Linked DNA regions of Rattus norvegicus. The protein of the gene in region 1 purifies or fractionates together with the protein of each later gene. This does not show direct contact. Links are inferred from orthologs where the notes say so. Each region holds a gene or a part of one and is shown in the gene's direction. Other genes may lie near its edges.

Region 1 (3,500 bases):
GGCCTTGTCTGAGGCAAGATGTAGAGCAGTGATTCTCAACTTGAGGTCCCAACTCCTTTGTGGGTCAGACACTTACATTAGGATTCATAACAGTAGGGGTTGGGGATTTAGCTCAGTGGTAGAGCACTTGCCTAGCAAGCGCAAGACCCTGGGTTCAGTCCTCAGCTCTGAAAAAAAGAAAAAAGGATTCATAACAGTAGCAAAATTACAGTTATGAAGTAGCAATGAAATGATTTTATGGTTGGGGAGGGGGTCGCCACAGCACGTGGAACTGTATTAAAGGGCCACAGCATTAGGAAGGCTGAGAACCACTGCCTTAGAGTCTATCCCTGGCTGAATGAGCAGGAGAACTGTGTGGTTGGGACAGGGCACACAGCCTCTGAGCTGCCTCCTCTTCCTCTGTATGGTAGAACATGGCATCTGGCACAGGAGGCTCATAGGCAGTGATGGCAGAGAACATCTTTCTGGGTGACAGGGCCAGTGAGGTGTGGCCTCTGCTGAGGCCAGGAGTCATTCTGGTGTGGTACAGCTTTAGCCAGCCTTTTCCTTGGTTCAGGTGAGTGGAGAGTGCATAGGACAAGGCATGGGAACACAGGAAGGCTTTCCCCATGTCACCTCGCCAGGCAGGCAGCCTTGCATTTTTAGTATCTGTCCCTGGTCTCCTGTCAGCTTCTGTGCTTGGGCGTCAGGTGACAGGACCTTCCTTCCAAGCCTGGCCAGTTGCTTCTTTCCTTTTGGAATGTGAAGAGCAGCCTGAAGGTCGTTCGGAATTGACTTTGGGGGTCACTCATGGCCCAGAATCTAGGCTCAGGTATGACTGAGATGGATTTGGAAGCCTCAGTTCCAGGGCAGCAGCTGCTGATGGTTCCTTATGGGGACCAAGCTGTGGCCTTGCATAAGTGAGGGAGGCTTTGTTCTCTGGCTAAGCAACAGGTCTAGGCCTGCAAGAGGACTCAGCATGAAGCACTGGCTAAGTGCTGGCAGTGAGGCGAACATTGGAGAACGTGAGCAGCTCCAGGCTCCGTGGCCTTCTTGGCAGGCCTGGTGTTACTACCACAGTGTGGCCTTCTTTTCTAGTGCATTTCCGATACGTGGTGTTCCACCCTTTCCTGGATGAGATTCTCATTGGGAAGATCAAAGGCTGCAGCCCAGAGGGTGTGCACGGTAAGGTGCCCTGACTTCTGGGGCAAGACTGGGACGCAGTGGGGTGGGCATTATGCTGACCACGTGGTCCAGAATCCAGCTGAGCCTCTCCTATGGCAGTGGAGGGGCTGTCAGCTGCAGAGCCATACTCTCAAGGAAGGAGTCAGGGCTTCAGCTCTCCTGTAAGGCCACAGCTTAGTAGCTGAGAATGGGTGCTGAGCTGGTGGAGGTGACGGGCTCCCTGAGAATGCTGGGAGCTGTGTGTCTGGAGCTCTGCCCAGGGCTGCTCAGCCCATGTGGGGTAGAAGGAGGGCTTTGAGGAGGGAGGGGACAGACTGCCCTGGAGACACCTGGGCCGCATGGGAGAGGGACTTGCCATCTCTGCTGGGCTTTCCCTTTGAAGCCTCATTCTCATGTCATTTCTTCCTTTCTTCCAGTCTCTTTAGGGTTCTTTGATGACATCCTCATCCCCCCTGAGTCACTGCAGCAGCCTGCCAAGTTGTATCCTCTCAAGTGTGGTTTGGAGCAAGTGGACAGCCAGCCCCATTACTGTGGTTCCCTGGCCTGTGATCTGTCACCACTGGTGGTGCTTGTGTGAAGCTCCAGGCCACCTCTGCCTCCCATCCTGCCCAAGTCTGTCAGGCTGGGTGATATAATAGAGCCCTACGGCTCCTCAGCCATCACTTCACTCAGGCTGTCTCTGCAGAAGTCACTTCACATGTCCCCTGCAGCTTCACCTGGCAGGTGGTCTCTGCTTCTCTTCACCCCCTGCTGTGGGGCTGTTTCTTTTAATGGGACTGTCACTGGTCCCAGGAGGGGCTCAGGTGGTTGTCACAACTGCACTCATGGTCTGGGCAGAGGGAGATGTGCCACTAGAGGGCAGTATGGCTCTGTAGGCGCTAGGGGAGGAGTAGAGCAGGCACTCGCCTCTCCTCTCACCCAGGCCTGTGCAGGCAGCAATACAGGCTACATGAGACTGTGGAATCGTCAGCAAATCTGGCCTTGGTTTATTGTTTCTCCTCCTTCCTAGACAGGTGGCAGTCAGACCTGCCTCTCTTGAGGCCCGGGCAAGCCCCATGATCTCTGTCTGCCTGTCAGATTAGTTATGAGGATTAAAAGAGAAATGCAGGGCACCTAGGTCAGTCTCATCCTAGAGGTGGGAATAGAATTCTCATTTTGGGTCCTGGTACAAACTGGCTGCTCTCCAAGGGACAGAAGCAGCTTTTACTGTATTTCCTAGCGCAGATAGTCTCAACCTCAGGCTGGTTTTAACCTGGGTAAGTACTTCAGAGGACCCGCAGCCTCGCGCTCCCATGGCGTGATTGTGGCCTTGACCCTGGACTCCAGTGATGAAGCGGAGCAAGTGTGGGTGTGGGAGTATGAGACCGAGGAAGGAGCTCATGACCTGTACATGGACACTGGTGAGGAGATCCGCTTCAGGGTGGTGGATGAGAGTTTTGTGGACACATCCCCCACAGGACCCAGCTCAGCCGAGGCTGCCTCTTCAAGCGAGGAGCTGCCAAAGAAGGAAGCACCATATACACTCGTGGTAAGCTGACAGGAGACTGCTTTCTTGAGGTTTCAGGTCGTCTTCTCTGATTGTCATCTGTCAATCACACTAGTCTGCTTTTGAGGGCTGGGGCCATATGGTGACAAGATTGCTGTAGATGATGGGCAGGCAAGGTAAGAGTTTGGATATCATGATCATCTTTAAGGGACAAAAACCAACAAGAGGCTAGAGAGATCAAAGCTGAGACTAGAGCAGGGTTCCAGGAGAGTGTTTTTCAGGCCCCTCCCTCTGCAACTTTGGGAGCTCAGAAAGACAGGTCTGGGGTCGAGGAAGGGTTCCCTGATCCCACTTGAGGCTTTGGAGCCTCTTTCCTAAAAATCTGGTGAGCTAGGGCATACGTAGTGATCTTGCTCTCTGTCTCTCCAAGCCTCCCGACTGTTGTGAACCCGGCCTTGCTTTGCCTGTGCTGGCCTGCTAGATGTTGAATAGGGTGAGGGCAGCCCAGCTCTGAGTGGTGATGAGTATACTTGTGTTTTCTGTCTTTGGCAGGGATCCATCAGTGAGCCAGGCCTGGGCCTTCTCTCCTGGTGGACCAGCAACTAGCCCTGGAGCTCCCAGTGACTGCCCAGCCTGAAGACTGTGCAGACCTGTGAAAGTAGAGAGCAGCTGGCACTGAGTGCTGCTGGAGCCAGGCTTGGTGGGACCAGGAGCAGAGTGACAGGTGCTTGTCCTCTTCCTCCCCAGCACTGCTTCTCTGATCTGGAGCCACCCTGAATCGTTTTCAGAGTGTCATGGATCCAGGCTGGCTTCTCACTTGCTGTCTAGCATAGCATGGAGCTTCTGGTCA
Region 2 (2,552 bases), on another chromosome or scaffold:
GTTTATTTTGCCTCATGGTTTCAGATTCAGTCCAAGTATGTATGACCCTGTTGCTGTGGGCCTGTGACAATGATCATGCCATGAACTGCTCACCTCGAGAAACTAGAACCAAAGAATAAAAAGGCCAGGGTCCCAGCATCCCCCATCCCTCCACCCCTGGTATCCTTAATCCTCCCTCTAAGCCCCACCTACTAGCAGTTCTAGCAAACCTTCCACACACAGCATTTGAGGGACGTTTAAGAGCCAAACCACCATGTTAGCTGGCGGCTTTCCGCCTGGGAATGCCAGGCTGAGAGTCCAGTTCTGCTTCTTGCTAAGATTATAGTGAGTGTTGTAAGATTATAAAATTCCTAGTGTGGCTCCAGCACACAGAAGCCCCTACAGAGTTCTGGTGAGTGCCAGGGAAGGAGAACTAGTCAAAGATAGAAACTGTGTATCCCACGAGAGCAGCATCCAATGAGTGGGTGATACCACTCCAGTGACAGAGGTGCTCATTGTGAAGTCCAAAAGTTTACCTAGGGCCATGTCACACACACTCCCCCCAACCCCCAAAGGTGAATTTCTTTGCATTTCCGACATAGTCACATATGGATGGGGACGGAAGTAGAATAGTTAGATTTCCCTTCATCTAATGAGAAACAAGGTGGGCATGGTGGTGGTGGCACACCCTTAGCTCGGGGGGTTGAGGCAGGCAGATTTCCGTGTTGGAGACCAGCCTGGTCATAGACAGAGAGGCAGATGGACAGACAGACAATCGGCTTCACTGACTCATTTTGTGATTCTGTGCCTACTCTGGCTTGAGCTGGGATTTGAACTGGTTTCATCCTACTGTGGATCTTTGATGAGGCCCAGGCTGGCTCAGGACCAAGTGCTGGGCTGCTGTGGCCTGTATGGCTGGGGCGGGCTGTGATGGGAGGCTTACTCCTAAACCCGACACGCATCCTTTCCCTTGTAGATGGTGGAAGAGAGTGAAGAGCGGCTCACGGAGGAGCAGATTGAAGCTCTCCTGCACACTGTCACCAGCATCCTGCCTGCAGGTCCAGAGGATGAGCAGAGCAAAAGCACTAGCAATGACGCGGCAATGGAAGAGGAGGAGCCTGCATAGACATCTGTGGCCATTATGACACAGCTGGCCAGGTTGTTCGTGATGCTCAAAGCCACAACAGCCATTTCCTGGACGTTCAGAGAACTGTTTATTCGGCCTGACCCCTCTCTCAAATATTCCTGATCTCAGGATTGGTTGAGAAAAAAAATCACAAAAATAAGATGAAAAGAAATCTTTGTGCCTTGGGTTCAAGAAACATGGGGTCAGAGAAGGGCAGAGGGCTCGAGATGGGGCAGCATGGCTATGCAGCCCTCTGGGTAGAAAGGCTTGTGTGGCCTCTGTCGCACTTGTACACAGTGGGGAGCTATTCAGGCACTTTGATGACTGTGTTGTAGGCAATGTCAGGCACCGCCATAGAATGGAGCTGGGGAACGACCTCAGACGGTCTCGAGCTCCCAGAGCTGCACACAGCTGCTCCAGGGGAAATGACCCAGGGCTTAGCTCACGGTAGAGGAATGTCCTCGGCAGAGCAGGAGGCAAGGAAAGGAGATAAGAGGAAACTGCAGTCTGAGCCCAGCCTGGTGTACATAATAAGGAACACACATGTGAATATACCTAACACACATGCGTGCCACACACACACATACAAAGAAATTAGTCCCTTTTCTGTGGCAAACCCACAACTCTCTGGCCTGGGTGAGAGACAAGGAAAAGGCTTATTTTGACTCCTGGTTCTGGTCCAAGGTCAAAGGGCATCTGGGTATGGCCCTCTTGTTGCCAGAGTGCTCAGGTAGCATTGGCTAACACATTACAAAACATGAGAAGCGTTTGTTTGTCTTCAGAGTCTCTTGTAGCCCACATTGACCAAAGTTCATTCTGTCTGAAATCGTCAGACACTTTCTGATTCTTTGGCCTCAGTCTCCTTAAAGCTGGGATTCAAATATATACCACTCACTTAGGAGGCAGAGGCCAGCCTGGTCACACAGCAAGTTCCATGCCAGCCAGCGTCACACAGTGAGACCTTGTGTCATAAAAACAAAAATAAATAAAACAAAAAACCAAAATAGTGTGTGTCACCATACCTGGTGTGTATGTGTCTGTGTGTGTGTGTGTGTGTGTGTGTGTGTGTGTGTGTGTGTGTGTCTGTGTGTGTGTGTGTGTGAACGCAGTGCTCCCGTAGGACAGAACAGCATGGCGGTTGGATCCCCTGGAGCTGGAGTTAAACAGGATCTGCCCAAGGGCTGGGCAGTTTACTTGGTGCTTTGCACTGAGACATTTCTCCAAGTCACAATAGGATCTTGCTGTGTGGCTCAGACTCTAGACTTCAGGCAAGATAGGCCTGACCTCCCATACATCGTTCTGTCAGGCTCTGGCTACCAAAGTCTCTAGTAGGGAAGAGCAGTGGTTAGTGACTCCCTTAAGTGTGTCCCTGAGTCACCAATGGAGACACTGAAATGTGGAGACATCGAGAAAGGAGCAATGGCTTGAGGACTCAGCCAGCAAGCTG
Region 3 (3,065 bases), on another chromosome or scaffold:
TGGTTTACAGTAGGTGTTGGGTGCATTCCGGAGGGGGTCAGGTTGTCTGCAGGCAGAGAGGAGAGGCCTACCTCATCTCGGCTACTCTCTGCCACCAGCTTTTCACTCTCAGAGCCTCCCACCCACACACAGCGACATCCCCAGCGGGTCGAGTATCAGAAAGGAGATCGCTTCTCCAGTCCTGGAGACGGGCGGTTTTCTGCTCCATGCGGACTTGCTGCTTGCCAGTGGGTAGTTCCTGCAGCCAGGCACAAGAAAGAGTTAAAGAGACTTGTTTTTTTGGCCTTTGGCTTTTTTACGCTCTGGTGGATAGACAAACAGGAGGTGATCTCAGTTGAGCGGGGAGGCTGGGAGGATTGTACATTTGTCATAGATAAGCCCTTTGCCATATTTCAGAACCACAGAAATCCAGTCTCTCTCTTGTGCTTTAAAATTATGGGGCCAGAGAAGTTTGCTGAGACCCCACCCCACCTCCAGCCGAGGGACTGAAGCATCGTCGGCCCCTGTGCCAAGCTCTTCTCTTTTTGCCTGATAGCACTCTGCAGCATAGTGAGTGCTTCCTGGTCCTGCTGGCCACCTCCCTCTCCTGTCCGTACTGAAGGTAAATTGGAGTCCTGAGTGGACTGCTGTGCAGTCACAGTCTGTACCAGTGGTCCATGTGCTGCAGCCCTGGGGCTTTCAGTCCGCACAGCAACCCTTTGTATGCCCACCTGCTTCTGTCCCCTCATAGCAGACATCGCCCACTGAGAGCCTGGCTTATCTTTGTTGCACAGGCCTAGTATAATGTCCCGCATACATAAGGTTTTAAGTATAGTAAATGCTTTTACATATGCATTTGACACAGGCATATATTCATCCAGTGTTTCACATTCCTTTTCGGGACAGTGTTGGGGACGTGGTAAACCTTGGGAGTATGTAAATAATGAAGGAGTGTCATTTCTCAGATGGCCACACGCTGAGGCATTTGATTGCCAGATTGTAATGCACTAACTACCACGGGTGATTATAGTAGCTGTGGCGGTATTAAACAACGACATGAGTTGTGGTCAACCATGGCTTCGGGATAAATGTCACCTCACTGCATGGAGGGCCTGCCCCTGCCCCAGACCTTCCATTCATTCTAGACTCGTAGTCTCCATACTTGTAGCCTCTGTATTGCAAAGGGTGTATGTGGAGCAGAAGATGGGGTGCCATTGCTGGTGTGGTGGCTTTGTCTGCAGCACAGGGGCAGCGAGCTGCATTTCGTGCCTCTTGCTCTATGACCAAGCACCCTCTTGTCTGCTCTAAAGATAACTGGGAATCAGCACTCGCCAGGGCCTGTCTGTCATGCTGTACTCACCTGAGTCAGTCAGTGCTTCTTTGCTCCAACATTGTCCATGCCGTGACTGTCCTGTGTCCCTGAGTGGCCAGTCACCCCTCACTGTATGTGCCTCTGCTCATTTGCTGGAAGGAACCTTAGCTGTAAGTGCACTGACACACTTCTGCCTGCAGTTGCTTCCCTGCTTGCTGGTAGCTAGACACTTAGACTGTGGTGAGTTTTCCCTAAATCCACCATTGCCGGGCTGTGGTGTGACTGCTGTGGGGACTGTAGAGTCTGATGAGGTAGCACTGTAACGTTCAGGCACAGGGCCATTGCGCCACCTTTCCAGGGCCTTGGCTGACCTGGTACTTGAATTGACCTGGTACCCCACGCTGGTCTCAAAATCATGGCAGTCCTCCTGCTCCAGCACTGTATGGCAAGGAAAGCCAGACAAACTCAGGAACTGGTTCTGTGGGGCCTGAATTCTTTTGTACTGATCTGGCTCGTGGGCCAGACAGGGAGGGAATTTAACTCTTGCATTTATGATGTCTTCTTCCCTCTTCACATCCACAGGATGAAGTGTCCTCTCGCTGGTACGAATAAAAGATTCCTTATTAACACAATTAAGAACACATTGCCCTCCCATAAAGAGCAAGACCACGAACAAAAAGAGGGCAGTAAGGAGCCTGGCAAAAGTCAAGACCAGAAGGAAACAAGTGGGAAGAAACACAGAAGCCACTCCTACAAGCGCAGCCTTCACTCAGCCCGGGGCTCAGTGGGCTGCTCTCCTCCAAGGAAGCGGGCCTCCCGGGACAAGTGTGACCCAAGGCCCAGCCGGCGATGAGATGGCTGCAGGGCCAGCCCAGCCCGTACTGCACCTGCCACTGGGCGCAGCGAGGCAAGGAGGCCGGGAGGTGGCGGGCTCTGACATCCGAAAGTGACTTCCTCAGTGGGTCCTTTGTTTTACGGTGTCTCTTGGTACTGTGTTGTTGTTCTTGTTGCTCTTGTTAACAGGAAAAGAAAAACTTTACTAAAGCAAATCGTAACTACCTTATCCTGAAGGCGTCGTGGTGAGAGCAAGCTGATTCCGCATTGCCCTGCACATCGATGTTGTCTTTATCTACCTTACCTGAAGTTCGTTTCAAACAAGGAGTTTTAGAATTTGAGATTTTGAGCTTGTTAGAAACTCCTAGTTTTTTGATGTACTGCACTTTTGTGGTCATTTCCCAGAATTTCTCAAAAAATAAATAAAATATTTAAAAACACTATGGTTTCCTCTTTTGGGTACCAGATGCTAAGCTCACAGTCTGAGGGACTCCGCCATGCTGCCAGTCAGCGCTCACTCGGAGAAGCAGGCACAAGGGCAAGTATAGGCTAATACTGTGCCCCATTTCACTGCTCCCCAGACTCTCGGCTATGGATGTGTGCCATAGCTAAAGCTGTGTGGAACTTACTGAGAACAACACTTGCTTCCTCCTGAACCTTCCGGCACCCTCCCCCAAGTTCCGGCCTTCCATATTAGTGAACGTCTACTTCGTGGCTGCAGATTCTTCTCATTTTCATTTAAAGACAACAACAAAACCAAAAACGTTTGCTCCAGGGAGATGACTCAGTGGGTAAGGTTGCTTGCCACAAAGCCAGTCACTTGAGTTCAATCCCTAGAACCTATCCAGAAGGAGACAGCCGACTCCTACAGGGTGACCTCTGACCTCCATGTGCACACGCGCGCGCACACACACACACGCACACACAAATAACACTCTGA
Region 4 (3,941 bases), about 100 Mb from region 1:
TGTCACTGTCTTTGGACACACCAGAAGAGGGCATCGGATCTCTTTACAGATGGTTGTGAGCCACCATGTGGTTGCTGGGAATTGAACTCAGGACCTCTGGAAGAGCAGTCAGTGCTCTTAACCACTTAGCCATCTCTCCAGCCCCTCAAACTCTCTCATTCCCCATGCCCACATCCCCTTACTTTGCACCCACAGCTCTTAGCCAACTGTAGCAACCACAGCCCCTCAGCCCTGGTCTACAGGGCATATGGTGGGTTCAGTGATCGGTGCCCTTGGCCAAAACTTGTCTTTCCAAGTCAGGATCAGCCTAAGTTTCCATACCAGAACCGGTCATGATCTGTAGACCTCAGTCAGACTCACATCAGGACAGAATGGAGGGTACAGTCCGCATCTAGATTTCCAACGACAGCCCTTGCCAGTTGCGATGGTACAAGCTTTCAATCCCAGCACTGCGGAGGCAGAGGCAGGGCATGCTCTGCGCTGTTGAGACCTGGTTTACATTCTAACTTTCAAGGCAGCACGAGTAGCCCACCACATACACACTTGTTTGTCGATTGTCTATATGCCTATATGTCCATTTTTTCCTTCTAGTTTTTAGGATTTTAATCATGTGTGTGGGTCTGCATGTGGGTTTAGACATACCCAGAGGCCAGAGGCCCCAGATCCTCTGGAGCTGGAGTTACAGATGGCTGGGGGCGCTGGAATCCGATTTCTCATACAAAGTGCAAATATATTAATAAAAACTTATATAAAAAGGGAAACTGAGGCACATGAACCTGGCTTTTCATCATCGGGCTCCCCCTTTCTTTCTTTCCTTTTCTTTTTCGAGACAGGATGTCCCTGGCTATAGACCAGGCTCGCCTCAAACTCATCGACTGCTTGCCTCGGTCCGGGATTAAAGGCGTGAACTACAGCCAAGTTTTCTTTTGCAAACGCCTAGTGGGAAAATACTAAGGCAGGTCAAGTATCGCGCGATCTTCCCGTGTGCGATCTCGCGCAGACACCGCCGCGGTAAATGCTGGGATTGCCCACCGCTCAACCTATCCTGGAAAGTTGGTGTATTCCGGCGATCACCTAAACCAAACCTGGGCGGGGCCTTCTCCGCATTCCGCGCAGGCGCACTGTGCTGGGGGCGTGCACTTTATGCTGTCCCGCGCAGGCTCAGTCCTGGTAGGTCTACGAGCGCGCGTGCAGAGTTGTTTGTGAAGTGCGACAACATGGACGACGAGGAGGAAACGTATCGGCTGTGGAAGATCCGCAAGACTATCATGCAGGCGAGTTGCATGGGGAGGTTTTGAGCGAGCGCTGAGCTGTGGACTAACTGCGGTTGTCTGTCCGCTCAGCCCAGCCTCCAATGGGGGCTAATCCTCTTGCTTCAGCCTCCCAGGTAATAGGATGCATCCCCTCTTAAAGTGTGGAGTCCACCCACCTCAGTTGTTGGCAATCCTCCTGCTTCAGCCTCCTCCCCCTGCCCCAGAGGAAAAGTCCTAGCTGGACTCTCTGCTTCGGAAACGGGATACATGGCTGCTACACGGTCACACCTGGTTTACGGGGTGTTGGGAACGAATGGTTTCCTCAGTACTAGGGAGCCTCACCATCGACACCCACATGGTAGTTCACAACCATCTGTAACCCCAGTTCCAGGGCATCTGTGGCCCTTTTCTGGTCTCTTGGACACACGTAGGATTAAAAGAAGCTATTTAAAAAAATAAAACAAGCCGGCATGACGGCGCACGCCTTTAATCCCAGCACTCTGGAGTTAGAAAGAGGCGGATCTCTGAGTTAGAGGTCAGCCTGGTCTACATGGTAATTTCCCGGATAGACAGGGTCACATTCACGCAGAGAAACCCTGTCTGGAAAGAAAAGGGAAAAAAGGAAGACATTTTGGTTGTTCGAGTTGAGTAGATAAGACCCCAGTGGAGAAAGAGGTATTAATAGTTTTAATTTATGCTGTGTTGGGTGGAGCCCAGGACCTGATCTAGGCCTCCTCAGGCCTGTTCTCAGCCCTCATTAGGAGGGTCCAAGACAGGAAGGTTGCCAGGTCATTGACCCCAGCCTTCTCTGGTGAGGCTGGAGGGAAGGGAGGAGGCTTGGCTGGGGCCTCTGTAGTCTCAGCCTATGCAGAATTTGGGTACTGCGGGTCAGTCAGTGTTAGTCCCCAGCTGTCCTCTAGCTGAGTACTCTTCTCTCTCTACAGCTGTGTCATGACCGAGGCTACCTGGTGACCCAGGATGAGCTGGACCAGACACTTGAAGAGTTCAAGGCACAGTTTGGGGACAAGCCCAGCGAAGGACGGCCGAGGCGCACAGACCTCACCGTGCTGGTGGCCCACAACGATGATCCCACAGACCAGATGTTTGTCTTCTTCCCAGGTGAGGGTCCTTGGGCTGGCAGTAGTGGCATCCTCTGGGGGCCTCCAGTTCTGGTGGCAGCTGCCTGCTTTGTCCCTGTCTTCCCCTGGGAAGCTTCCATTTCACCGGTGTCCTTTTTGCCCCTGAGTCCGCAGACCAGTGCTCAGTCCCCCTGCTCCTGTTGCTGTAGTCTACAGTTGCTGTCTGAGGCCCAGGCGGCTCTCGGAGGTTTGTGGTGCTCTGCAGCTCCTCCAGTCTCCGCAGGCAGCTTGTTTCCTTTAATACCTGATGTTGATGCCTGGGGCCTGGGGTTTTAGTGTGAGAATTGGGGGTGCAGGGATGGGCATGGTAGCATGTGTTTATAAATCCAGGAGGCGGAGGCAGGCAGCCGAGGCCAGCCTGGGCTACACAGTGACTTCTAGGACAGCCAGAACTATGTAAGGCAGTGGCTGTCAGCCTTCCCGACAATGGGACTCTCCATGTTGTGGTGACCTACAGCCATAAAATTTTCATTGCTGCTTCCTAACTAATTTTGCCACTGTTATCATAATGTAAAAAGGTGTGTAGAGTCTGGATAAGGTCCGATAATTTGCAGACTAGGTGACTAGGTGACCTGGACCTGCTCTTGTGCTCTGCGTCCTAATGCTCCAGTAAACCCCACTCTGCCTGAGGAGAGAAGGCTTAGCCCCATGTTAGACACAGGGTCCACCTCCTGGTCAGACAGTTTCTCCTTGAGGCTGCCCAAGCTGACAATACCATATTCCACAAATCTCAGAGCTGCTGAGAATTTCACCCCCTGGATCAGGAGGGGCGGACAGTGCAGCTTTCTTCCGCCATGGCTGCCCCGTGATAGCCCCACCGCGGCTGGCTTTGCGTTCTGGTCTTCCTTTGTGAGTGGAGAAGCTAAGTCCACAGGCAGCAGGACATCAGGGACTCTAGTGGTGGGTGTGAGGGTCACACTTGTGTGCCTGCAGAGGAGCCCAAGGTGGGCATCAAGACCATCAAGGTGTACTGCCAGCGCATGCAGGAGGAGAACATCACACGGGCGCTGATCGTGGTGCAGCAGGGCATGACACCCTCCGCCAAGCAGTCCCTGGTAGACATGGCCCCTAAGTACGTGCTAGAACAGTTTCTACAGCAGGAGCTGCTCATCAATATCACAGAACATGAGGTGCGTGTGTCCCAGGGAAGGTCTGGGTGGCATGGCGTGGTCTGGACAGGATACGGGAGGGCCCTGGATCTTCCCAGTCTCAGGCCGTGCCATTCATAAGCTGGGCAGGGTCGTTCCCCAGTTTTAGTGCAGTGGCCTTGAGCATCCAACTTGGTGATATTAGTAGCCTGGTTGTGTCCTCTGTCCCAGCCCTGTGGCAGTACCCATTAGCCTGTTGAGTCTGTCGGTTTCTGATGGCCGCGGGTGGGTCTCTGTTTCCACAGCTAGTCCCTGAGCACGTGGTCATGACCAAGGAGGAGGTGACGGAACTGCTGGCGCGATAGTATCCTTTTTTTTTTTTTTTTTTTTTTACGTGTGAGGCTATATGCCCATATGCACAAAGTAGCCTCTTTTTTTTTTTTTTTTTTAAGATTTATTTT
Region 5 (4,183 bases), on another chromosome or scaffold:
AGAGACTTGATGTGCTGGGGGTGGGGGAAGGGATACCCAGGGGGCCTCCACCCTCCCAGAAGGGGAGACGGGATGAGGGAGTCTCTGTGAGGGAGGGAGCAGGAGGGGGGAGTAGCTTTTGGGATGTAAATAAATAAATCCTAAGGCAAAAAATATAAAATTGATATACCAAGTATTGCTGTTGTCGCTAACCAGTTCAATTAGTGCAGTCCTGCATGGGGAGAAGGGGATTGGGACCCTACTCTATCTTGCTCCATTTTATCAATTTCTTAGGACCAAGAGAATGAAGTCTGCATTAATTAATGCACACACTTTATCCATGGGAAACAACTCCCTTATTGATCGTTCTTAGGCCTCGCTCTCATCCAGACCAGATAGCTGTCATAATTCTACGTTCATGTCCACCATCAAGCCTTTTTTCTTTTTGAGAGGCAATAAGCAAACAAATCCATCTGAAAGGTAAGGATGGACGAAAGCTCTCTAAGTCTACAGGTGAGACTGAGGCACTCTGCGGTGAGCAGTGCGCAGGCAGCAGAAGTCAGCAGTTTTCAGAGCACAGAGCCTAACACTCTCCACAAGGTGCCATATCTTAAAAGCCTACTCGTTACAAAAGCTGGAAATGTTCAACTGGTACTTGGGAAAAGAATGGAATATCTCCAGTCACAAGTCTCTGCAGTGTAACTACCGTAGCCGACTGACTGGGGATGGTGTGAGCTTTCAAATAAACAGCCACACAGTAGCAGCGCGCATCTCCTGGCAGAGAAGACTGAGTGGGCCTAGGCTCTGCCCAAGCTGGCTTTCACGCAGCAAAGGGTGAGTCAGAGTATTCCCGCACGGTAGCCCAACAGTGCCACGGAGGTCTGCAACAAGCTGTACACGCTCGCCAAGCCCCTCCCTCAGAGACAGCGCGCGCCCCCGGGACCTATTACCATCCTGCAGAATGAGGGTGGGTTGCACTGCCTGCACTCGGAATTGCCTGGCCCTCCAGCCAGGGCTGGGCGCCCGCACCACCTCGCTGTCAGAGAGCCAGGTCACGGTCTCAAAGTTGTCCCCGCGAGCCAGGGCCTCGGCTTCGGCGCGGTGCACAGCCACCTGGTCGAACTGATAGAGCCCGCCGGAGTGATCAAAGTGCACGTGGGTGGCCACGGCCAGCAGCGGCCGACGTCCTGCATCCTCTTTGGCACCACAATCCTGCAAGAGGCCGGAGGAGTAGAGGTACTCCGGGAGGCTGCGTAGCCCCAGGCCCGTGTCGATCACCACGTCCTGCTCCGAGCCGCGCACCAGCCAGATGTTGGCCCGGTTGCCTGACTCGTAGAACCGTTCTTGAATCCAGAAGATGCCATCGCCCAGAGACTTGTGGGCATACCACTCGAGTGCCGACATGCCGATGCGCAGGGGTGCGGCCGGGCAAGGTGGGTGTGCCTCCCACAGGCAGTCCAGGACTCGCCGCTGCTGCAGTGAGCGAAGAGCTACTCTCAGCTCCGGAGGAGGCGCGATCGAGGGGCGGGGATGCGGAAGGGAGCGCGGATAGGACGCAGCGACACTGCCCAGATCGCCTGTTCCTCGCCCTCCCGTCCAAGCCGCAGAGCGCAAAGACTGCACCCCAGCTGCCGCAGCTTCTGCAGCTGCAGCACCAAGGCGGTGACACAGGCCGCTGAAGCGGGGCGGAGACACCGGGCAATGCTGCCCTGCTCGGGGTTCCGACTGCAGAGGCCTGGAGGGATGCGTGGGAAGAGACAGGACCGCCCCCACACGGGCCGCGGGCGCTGCGCACTCGTAGCGGGAGGCCAGAGTGAGGCCGAGCCAGTTGGAGGTTGACTACGGCGCCTGCCAAGGGCTAAAAAGCTCCTTTCCGGGGGTGTGGCCTCGTAGAGTGGGCGGGGCTTCCAGTGCGCTACCCTGAGCCGGAGCCGCGTGCGGTGAGGTTCTCGCTGTTCCGGAGGTGGAATCTGCTGCTCCTTGCTGGCGCGACTGCCAGCTTTCCTGCCACCATCGCTGCACAGTGTGCCCAAGCCTCGAGACTTGGTGAGAAGGTAACTGGAAACTATCCCGGACTGGGCTGGAGGTGAAGAGGGTAGAAGGGAGTTGATGGGGCACGTGGAGAACGTGGTGGTCCGATAATCTGGAGCCAAAATTCATCAAAGCCCCTCTGGAGTGACTTTGGGCTGTACCCCTACCTCCCAAAGCCTGCTGCTGCCGGCTTCCAAACCTTTAAAAGTTTTGGTAGCCAGATCTTCCAGCCTCACGCTGGAAGTTTATCCTTTTACAAGAGAAGACTTTGCAAATCCGGGGACTGTGGTTTTTGTTCATGTAAAGTTTGGCGGCAGTTTGGCTAATAAGGGCATACTTATCATCGCTTCTTTTTTCTTAACTGTTGGCACCTTTGATAGTGGGGAGAGGGGCTGGTGATAGAATTTTTCTTTAAGGAGATCCTAAATGCCCGTCATAGTTCTGGGTGTTTCCTTGCTCTTTGAAGAGAGCAGAAAAGGTTAGAGCTTAAGGCAAGGCAGAGATCACTTTGAGGGGACAGGGAAAGTGGATAATCACTGGGTGTGGCCTTGCAAGCAACCGAAATCACCCCCACTGTCAGTATCAAGTCCCTGTGCTTGCACCCCAACCATTAGCTACCGATGCATCTCTTTCAGATTCAGAAATTCCCTTGAGAATTTGACTAACCTTCAGAAATTATAAAGAGACCCACGGGGACAGCATTATCAAAGATAATTAGCAAAATCCTTCCTGTGGCACATAAGTCTTTCCTGGAGGGAGAGATGCATTCTTCCTACACTCCCAAACTCTCCAGTGGGTGTGGGAGCAGGTCGCTGCTCTTTTGAGTATTTTGCTAATCTCATCTATTATTCAATTATGCAATTGGGACCATTCTTAGCACTAGTGCCTGAACTAAATGATGTGTGACAAGCAGAAAACTGTTTAAAGAAAAGTCTGATTTGAGTTCTCAAGAATCTGAGGAAGCTGACACTTGTACACAAATACTTGTTAACTAATGCATCATGAATGCAAAAATTGGGTTCTGCCTAAGAAGGTGTTCTCCACAGAGAAACACAGTGCCCTCTTTACTTTATGCTTCTGCGGCAGAAGGGAGGCACTCGGTAAGATGGCACAGTGTTGTTCTGTGGTCATGAGCTCAGAAATAATTCAGTGATGATTATCCAGCTTGTGCCTAGCTCTAGAGGCCTTTGGACCTACAGTTTCTGATGACTCTTTTATTCTTTTCAATATGACTCTGTTTCTCATCTTAATTAAATTTATGCTCAGATAGTCCCAAATGACTAGTTTATCTGGCCTGGTTCCTGCTTCACTTTCACACCATCTGTCAGGCTCTGACAGGTTCTCCTGTCCGTGAACTCCATAAGCGCAGAGACATTATTTTGTTCACCTCTCTATTTCCAGCAGAGAGGATGGTTTGACCCAGAGGTAGGGTTAGGGTTAGGGCTTCATAAAGACGCCAGTGGATGGTCAAAGACTCTCCCTGGGGAGGCAGAAAACCAACAGTCAGTTACTTGGTGAGAAGCAGAAGTTAAATGTCCTGAGCTTTGTTAAACTGAAGAGAACAGTATATCGGAAGTGTAAAGATTTGCCTTCTATTAAATTGACAAGAGTTTGGTTGAGAATGATAGGAATCTGGACATAAAATGTCTAGCATGTTTCAAAGGGTCAGATGAGCAATGCTAAGGCCTGAGCTAATGCAGAAGAAAGGAGAAGACTAGGGAACACACAGCTAATGGTCATTCTTCAGAGAGATACTGTGACCTGGCTTTTGCTGTCTCCCCTGACCTCCAGCTAGTTGAACATTTACTCATCTCCTTAAATGTGTAAGGTTGTGTGTACACGAGGATGATACATTTAAGTCACAATCATAACTCATGACATTTTAGATCTAGGAAGAATTGTAGAGATGAACTCACCATTTTCCAGGTGGTTGTGTTTGGAGATGGTTAGGATAGACTTTGGTCTCTTGAATAACGCCCATTTTTAAATCTCTTGGAACAGATTCCAAATGGGAATTTTGAGGCAGCGTTCTGAGCTGGAAGGGGCAGTGCGAACTTGTCCATGTTGCATTTTAAATTTCAGATTTGGGGGCTGGAAAGATGGCTTAGCAACAAAGAGCTCATGTTACTCTTGTAGGGGATCAGAGTTCAGTTCCTAACAACCACACCAAGTG
Region 6 (2,312 bases), on another chromosome or scaffold:
AACATCCTGTTTTAGCCACACTTCTTATGCTGCCCTTGTGGGAAACAGCTGACCGGAAGCCCTGAGGAATGCTAGGGAAGAGGAGACTTTAGAGTAGAAGTCCAGGTAGATGCCTCAAAGCAGCATCACACACACTAATGCCATCCCAATACCTGTTGTCGCACTGTCATCTCAGAGCCAGTGAGTGGGAGAACTAGGCTTCGACCGCTCTTGCCTAGGGCTGGGTTGCAGGCTAGGTGGGTTGAAGTGGGCAGGGCAGCAGATCACAAGGCAGAGAAATGACCAGCTCATGCTTGGGCCAGTTTCCCCCACAGACTGCTGCTTCCCCTGATGAGCAGAAGGTATTTGCCCTCTGGGAGTCTGGAGACATGAGTGACCAGGTGAGGTGCCTTTTTTTTTTTTTTTTTTTTTTTTTTTTTTTGTCGTCTTTCTTTTTTAAGAGCGGGAGTCCTAGAAGGTTGAGGCTATTAGAATCTTGACACTAGAGTATAGTTGGACATGTCAGGTTTTCCAGTCACTCCAAGATAGGCCATGTGTGCCAGTGGTTTGCCCCTGAACTTGGGTGGATGTCTGTCGAATTAGAACAGTATCACCTTTGAAAAGATGACTGTTTCCAGCAGTATGGTGGCCTCACTCTGAGCTTTAGAGCTCTATGATAGTGATGCAGGCAGGCTTGGAAACCACGTGCAGAGGAGAGTTCTCAGTGGCTTTTTTATTAGCTGTCTTAAACCTGGAGTTTGGTTATTTTGTTCTGCGATCCTGTCTCCAGTGTTTGGGTAGTTCAGCTCTGGGAAAGAGCTGAGGTCCAGATGCCTTTAAATCATGAACTTGCCTGAATTCCAAAGATTAAAGTGTTTTGGTTTTAGCAGACATGCCAGTCAGGTTGAGACAGGAGTGAATCCTGTTGAAGCCTGTTTCCCTTTTACTTGCCAGGGGGACAGGAAGGCTGAGAGCAAGAGTGGGTATGAGGCCTCGCTTCTAACAGGAGTCCTGAAGTGACCCTGTTTTTGGCCAAGAAAGGTAGCTTGAGGCTTTCCTACTTAGCTTCTCAGATCACTAAGGGAAAAAAAGTAGTAAGTTCATTTAAAACTGAACAGGGCCTAAAGAACTGTGGGGAAGCTGACTCTGCCCTCAGAGGTGACCGATTGTTTGTGACTGTGAGCCGATCAGTGGTTACCACATGCTAGTGCACAGAACATGTTCATGCTGCAGTTACTGCTTCCTCTCCAACATGTGGGGCTAGAGAGCCAGCTCAGGCCTTCAGGCACCTTCTCTGCTGAGCCATCTCACCGCTCACTTCCTCTGTGCACTAGTCTGCTGTTCTGACCCCAGCAGACCAGCAGCACGACTCCTGTGGAATGTGAGGACACTGCTTCTCCATGTGTGGCTCTTCCTGTGTCTAGAGTCTTAGCCTCTGATGGGATATCGACAGCGTTCTTTCTTTCTGCCCTCAAGTACTGCTGGTACTAATAGAACTAAAATTTTACAGGGCAAATAATTTCCCCCCGTTAGGAAGAGGGTATCGTAATCATTTCAAAGTTGAAATTCAGTGATACTCTTCTCGTGAGATCTTCCCTTAACTGCAAACTGCATGGCGTATATTGTTCCCTACACTGGTAGGACCTTGATGTATTCTGAATTCTTTATTTACTAGACAGTTGGGCTCTTAGAGAATCCTGTAGGCTGATAAATTTCTTTACCTTTTTGAATCCTTATAGACATTTGAGCTATTAAACCTACTAGATGTCGTCTTTGCCCATTTTTTGAGACCAGAATTTTTCACTGTAGCCCTGACTGGCCTTGAACTCATGCTGATGCCCCTTTCCCAACAGGGATTGTGAGGTGTGTGTGAGTCATCACCCTCTGCAGTCAGTTTTCATTCTTCCCTTCTGTTTTGAGGATGGCCTTATTTGTCCTCTGCTATTTAATGTCTCTTTAGGAGTTTGGTGCATTTTCCAGTTTCCTGGATTCAGTGTTATGCTTGTGTCTAGACTTTGAACCAATTTAGATACCTTTCCCCCACCCAGTCTAAACTAGATGCTTCTGCTCACTTCCTTGTATGTCCAAACTGCTCATCCTGAGTTCCTTCACTGAAGTCTGCAACAGTGACCAATAGGTCGGTCTTGCTAATCTTTAACCAGGAGTGCTAAGCCACTAGACACTGCAAGGTGGGGCCAGCGCCATCATTTTGGATCTTTTGTTTGGGGATAGTTCACATTTGGGATACTATCACTATCGAACTAACACTTTTTTTTTTTAAATTAAATAAAGCATCGACAGGTTTTGCTTGAAATATTTTCCAAAAATTACCG
Region 7 (4,166 bases), on another chromosome or scaffold:
CTTTTACTAGCTATTGAAGTGTGCTGAGTGCTTTGCATACGTACATCATCTCCGACCCTCAGAACTCTATGAGGTGGGAACTATTGTCTTCTTGCAACAAATCAGGTTAAGCAAGTTCCCCAAAGTTTCATTGCTATGTTTTTGTACTATTCCAAAAACCGAGTATGTGTCATCCACAAGCATTTTCTCTGACCTCTGGCATATTCATGTTGACTAACTCCTAGTTTTATCTCCATCCTGAAGTATTTCCATTTACTTCTACTCCGTGAAAGGATGACTTTTTTTTTTTCTTTTCTTTTTTTCGGAGCTGGGGACCGAACCCAGGGCCTTGCGCTTGCTAGGCAAGCGCTCTACCACTGAGCTAAATCCCCAACCCAGGATGACTCTTTCTACTCCACACCATTCCCTTGAAGGGGCTTGAAGGGCAGTGCAAAGCGCAGAAAGAAAAAAACAAAAAAGCCCACTGGATTCCCACCTTCTCTCCCCAGTGACTTCTCTGATCCCAAGAGCCTTTCCCTCCCCCACTTCTCAGACATAGCAACAATTCACAGGACTGGGCATTTGGGGCCTGACCACGGTAGCAGAGTCAAGAGTATCAAGAGTTCAAGGCCAGTCTAGACTGAGTAGCCAGAACCTGTCTTTAGGGAAAAAAAATCTTTTAAAGATTAAGTATTTGGGGGCTGGAGAGATGGCTCAGCAGTTAAGAGCACTGACTGCTCTTCCAGAGGTCCTGAGTTCAATTCCCAGCAACCACATGGTGGCTCACAACCATCTGTAATGGGATCTGATGCCCTCTTCTGTGTGTCTAAAGACAGCTACAGTGTGCTCACATATATAAAATAAATCTTTAAAAAAAAAGATTAAGTATTTATTGGTAGTGCTGAAAGAGAGGGTCGGAAAGTCACCAAAAGACTGACGCTGGGGAGTTGGGGGGGGGGGGCAAGGGAGGGGTCCTAAGCCAGTAGAGGACGCTGGAGTCTCCACTGGAGACCGCTGGAGGCGGTTGGGAGCCTCCTGGAGGGTTCTGGGAACTAACTCCAGTCTCCTGCTGGCCGAGCCGTTAACAGTTAAGCAGTCTGGTCTCTCTAACACAAGGCTACATTTCCCAGCAGCAATTCTCTTCTGGCTCAGCTACGTGCCTGGAAGTGCTCTGAGGAGCAGGTCATCTTAGCCGACTCCTGCCATCCAGAGTCGGTTCCGTCTGGGCAGAAGAGGTGAACACTGCAGCCCCAGGTCTCAGCGCGCCCTACTTGCCAAGCCTCAGTTCCGGTTAGGCTTGCTCCCACCTCCACCCCTCCTTGCCCGCCTCCGCTCTTGTTGATTGGCTAGGAAAACCCACCAATGGAGAGGTCAGGGAGGCGGGCCTAGAACGCGGGCTGGAAGAAGAAAAGCAAATTTCAAGTTGGCGGCTGCGTGGGCCCGAGTGGGGGAGGGACGGCAGGTAAGGCTTGGACCTGGTGGCTCTGACCGGGTTTGGTTCGGTACTTCCAGATTTAGTCCCTCGGCGCCAGACAGCAACGTAGTTAACGCTTTCTGTCAGCCTATTGGACTAGCCCCCTTCTGAATCCCTCCCCTTTCTTCCCGGGCTCTCACTGCTGTCTTGACTGTACACCAGAGACACAGCTTGCTGTCGTGCCTGGGGACAGATATTAAAACAGGAGAGGAATGCTCATTCTTGTAGCTCAGACTCTTCTATGGTATCAGCTTCTTCCACGTCTGTTAACATTAACCTCCTGTCAAGAGCCTGGCAGATTCTTATTACCTATCAAGTCAACTGAACCGCTCGCTACCCTCTACCCACTGCTTTTCTAGACCTCCTTGAAGAGTTTACTGATCCTCAGCCTGACAATGTCTGATTATCATTATTGAAATCTATTTAACTTTTAAAATCACATTTATTATCGGGGTGGTGGTGGTGGTGGTGGTGGCGTGCGCGCCATGGCTTGCGCAAGGAGGTCAGAGGACAACTTGAGCTAATCAATCTGTTTTCCTGGCCACCTGGCAAAGAGAGTATTTAGTATCTCATGAGGCTCACTGTCTCCCTCCATCCCTCCCATCCTTTTTACCGACAGACTCTTGCTGTGTAGCCTATACTGGCCTCCAATTTGCATTCCTCTGCTACAGTCTCCCCAGTGCTAGGATTACACGTTCTCTTTTGATGTTTCTATTCCATGAACCGAAGGTTTGATGGGACAGGTTGTGGTACTTAATACATTGTGTTCAATAAGCGTTCATCAAATGGAATTGATTTGTGGGAACCAGTTTTAAACTCCTAATATAATTAGGGAACAATAAAAGACAACATAGTATATAATTAAAGGCCTTTAAATTGGTGGTTTATTGCATTAATGTTTTATAGTTATTCTCAGACCAGAGAAGGAAATCAGCTATAAGAACCATAAGGGAGTCTTTATGACTCACAGGGTCTCTAGACTCCTGTTCAAACAGGAATTTGCTGAGCACCTACTACATCCCAGACACAGCGTTAGACAATGGGGATCATAGTGAACCCTCTGATAACATCTATCCAATAAATTGTTGTTGAGTATGTGGGAAAATATTTTTGAGACAGGTTTTTTCCTATGCAGGACAAGCAGGCTGGCCTCCAACTTATGATCCTCCTGCCTCAGCCTTCCTGGGATAACAGGCTTGTACCACTGCACCCCAAATAAACTTTTTCTTTTAAATTGAGAAGCATGAATCTTGTCTTACAAATGCTAAGCATTAATTCTACCCCTGAACCACACCCCTACTCCAGAGCCAGCATCTTTAGTAAGAGAATTCACCAGCTCTTTTCAGGCCCAGCCACTATTTTATTTTTTCTTTGTATTTGTTCAACTTAAACTTATTTATTGGGAGCCCTCAAAAGCGACATGGCGGTCCTCTTAAAGCTGGGCGTTCTCTGCAGTGGCCAAGGAGCTCGAGCTCTGTTACTCCGAAACTGGGCAGTCAGACCTGCTTTTGTGTCCACATTTCTCCAGGACCAGCCTACCCCAGGATGGCATGGCACCCAGCACATTCACCTGTCACCAAGCCACCAGTCTGGTTCCAAGGCTGCATCTCTCCACTGGACCAGTGAGAGGGTTGTCAGTGTTTTGCTCTTGGGCCTGATTCCAGCTGGGTACTTGAATCCCTGCTCTGTGGTGGACTACTCTCTGGCTGCAACCCTCACCCTGCACAGTTACTGGGGCCTTGGACAAGTGGTTTCTGCCTACGTTCATGAGGACAGTCTCAGCTTTGACCTTTGCTGGGCTTTGCTACTTCAATTACCACAATGTAGGCATCTGCAGAGCGGTTGCCATGCTGTGGAAGCTCTGACCTCTTGGTGTAGCACTTTGATTGCATGCCTCCTTGCCTCTGCTTTATCAATGCTGTTCACCTCACAATGAGGAGGGGATGAACGGTAAATCCGTTGGTGGGCAGAATGTCTTCTAATTACATGGCTATTTTCAGAATTTATTTGTTGAGGAGTTAGGTTCACTCAGTCGTGAGTCTGAGTCCTATAGTCACTGAGTCTGGACGCCAGTTCACGTGACTCATCGTGTAACTGAACATTTCATAGGCTCATGTTGCCTTTGATCACAATTTCTTAAGGAGAGCCAGCTAATTGCTGTCAGGATAAGAGTAGACTTCTCTCCTCAGACCTGGAGGGAGCACTGTTCATTCATGAGTCAGACTTTGCATGAAATTGAACAGTATTCTGTTTGGAACCTTCCACTCTTGTTCAGGTGGCCCCAGCTGTTGGTGGCTCTGTTTCTAGGGGACTTTTAATCAGGAGATGCCCTCAGTTACTGACGTTTTAAGTCTTAGGAAGGAAATCAAGGAAAGTTAGATTTTGGGAAGTTCAATTTAGGGAGTTCTCCTTTGTAGGTGGGTTCAAATATGACAGATTGCAAACAGACTTACTCTTCAAATGTATCTCAGTTATGCACGAATGAGCTGTCCAAAAAATGTAAGACTAAGTAATAAACTGTCTTCCCACCGTGGGAGTTGCTAATGAGAAAGTGTACACTGAAAAGGCAAAATTTTTAAATAAAATATTATATAATGAGAAAAAACCGTATTTATTGTTAGTGGGCCTGGGTGGAGTGTGTGCCCTGGTGCATAGGTCAGAGGAAGGTAGTGAATTCTACAGGCTGGCCCCAAACTCACTGTGGAGCCAAAGA

What was found.
Region 2: the proteins of Polr3h (region 1) and Crcp purify together in Homo sapiens (affinity purification with mass spectrometry; 4 studies listed by BioGRID and IntAct, with this or other methods). This does not show direct contact. The link is inferred for Rattus norvegicus from reciprocal best matches to the Homo sapiens genes POLR3H and CRCP.
Region 3: the proteins of Polr3h (region 1) and Polr1d purify together in Homo sapiens (affinity purification with mass spectrometry; 6 studies listed by BioGRID and IntAct, with this or other methods). This does not show direct contact. The link is inferred for Rattus norvegicus from reciprocal best matches to the Homo sapiens genes POLR3H and POLR1D.
Region 4: the proteins of Polr3h (region 1) and Polr2e purify together in Homo sapiens (affinity purification with mass spectrometry; 6 studies listed by BioGRID and IntAct, counting the BioPlex papers as one, with this or other methods). This does not show direct contact. The link is inferred for Rattus norvegicus from reciprocal best matches to the Homo sapiens genes POLR3H and POLR2E.
Region 5: the proteins of Polr3h (region 1) and Polr3g purify together in Homo sapiens (affinity purification with mass spectrometry; 5 studies listed by BioGRID and IntAct, with this or other methods). This does not show direct contact. The link is inferred for Rattus norvegicus from reciprocal best matches to the Homo sapiens genes POLR3H and POLR3G.
Region 6: the proteins of Polr3h (region 1) and Polr3e purify together in Homo sapiens (affinity purification with mass spectrometry; 9 studies listed by BioGRID and IntAct, counting the BioPlex papers as one, with this or other methods). This does not show direct contact. The link is inferred for Rattus norvegicus from reciprocal best matches to the Homo sapiens genes POLR3H and POLR3E.
Region 7: the proteins of Polr3h (region 1) and Polr3gl purify together in Homo sapiens (co-immunoprecipitation; 4 studies listed by BioGRID and IntAct, counting the BioPlex papers as one, with this or other methods). This does not show direct contact. The link is inferred for Rattus norvegicus from reciprocal best matches to the Homo sapiens genes POLR3H and POLR3GL.

The regions. Positions count from the first base shown.
Region 1 is NC_086025.1:115,309,882-115,313,381, reverse strand, and holds part of Polr3h (DNA-directed RNA polymerase III subunit RPC8), read left to right. Parts: intron 1-1,077; coding exon 1,078-1,164; intron 1,165-1,580; coding exon 1,581-1,644; intron 1,645-2,490; coding exon 2,491-2,692; intron 2,693-3,202; coding exon 3,203-3,256; 3' UTR 3,257-3,500.
Region 2 is NC_086030.1:32,259,665-32,262,216, reverse strand, and holds the end of Crcp (DNA-directed RNA polymerase III subunit RPC9), read left to right. Parts: intron 1-955; coding exon 956-1,105; 3' UTR 1,106-2,052; downstream 2,053-2,552. UniProt on the Homo sapiens protein: DNA-dependent RNA polymerase catalyzes the transcription of DNA into RNA using the four ribonucleoside triphosphates as substrates.
Region 3 is NC_086030.1:13,084,005-13,087,069, reverse strand, and holds the end of Polr1d (DNA-directed RNA polymerases I and III subunit RPAC2), read left to right. Parts: intron 1-1,873; coding exon 1,874-2,144; 3' UTR 2,145-2,565; downstream 2,566-3,065.
Region 4 is NC_086025.1:10,316,217-10,320,157, forward strand, and holds the start of Polr2e (DNA-directed RNA polymerases I, II, and III subunit RPABC1), read left to right. Parts: upstream 1-1,141; 5' UTR 1,142-1,217; coding exon 1,218-1,274; exon of another isoform or gene 1,275-1,354; coding exon of another isoform or gene 1,355-1,387; intron 1,388-2,197; coding exon 2,198-2,372; intron 2,373-3,325; coding exon 3,326-3,522; intron 3,523-3,785; coding exon 3,786-3,844; intron 3,845-3,941. UniProt on the Homo sapiens protein: DNA-dependent RNA polymerase catalyzes the transcription of DNA into RNA using the four ribonucleoside triphosphates as substrates.
Region 5 is NC_086020.1:13,718,988-13,723,170, reverse strand, and holds the start of Polr3g (DNA-directed RNA polymerase III subunit RPC7), read left to right. Parts: upstream 1-1,383; 5' UTR 1,384-2,033; intron 2,034-4,183. Other genes in the region: acyl-coenzyme A thioesterase MBLAC2, read right to left, coding at 930-1,383. UniProt on the Homo sapiens protein: DNA-dependent RNA polymerase catalyzes the transcription of DNA into RNA using the four ribonucleoside triphosphates as substrates.
Region 6 is NC_086019.1:184,921,415-184,923,726, forward strand, and holds part of Polr3e (DNA-directed RNA polymerase III subunit RPC5), read left to right. Parts: intron 1-302; coding exon 303-380; intron 381-2,271; coding exon 2,272-2,312. UniProt on the Homo sapiens protein: DNA-dependent RNA polymerase catalyzes the transcription of DNA into RNA using the four ribonucleoside triphosphates as substrates.
Region 7 is NC_086020.1:186,815,170-186,819,335, reverse strand, and holds the start of Polr3gl (DNA-directed RNA polymerase III subunit RPC7-like), read left to right. Parts: upstream 1-1,366; 5' UTR 1,367-1,441; intron 1,442-4,166. UniProt on the Homo sapiens protein: DNA-dependent RNA polymerase catalyzes the transcription of DNA into RNA using the four ribonucleoside triphosphates as substrates. Specific peripheric component of RNA polymerase III which synthesizes small RNAs, such as 5S rRNA and tRNAs.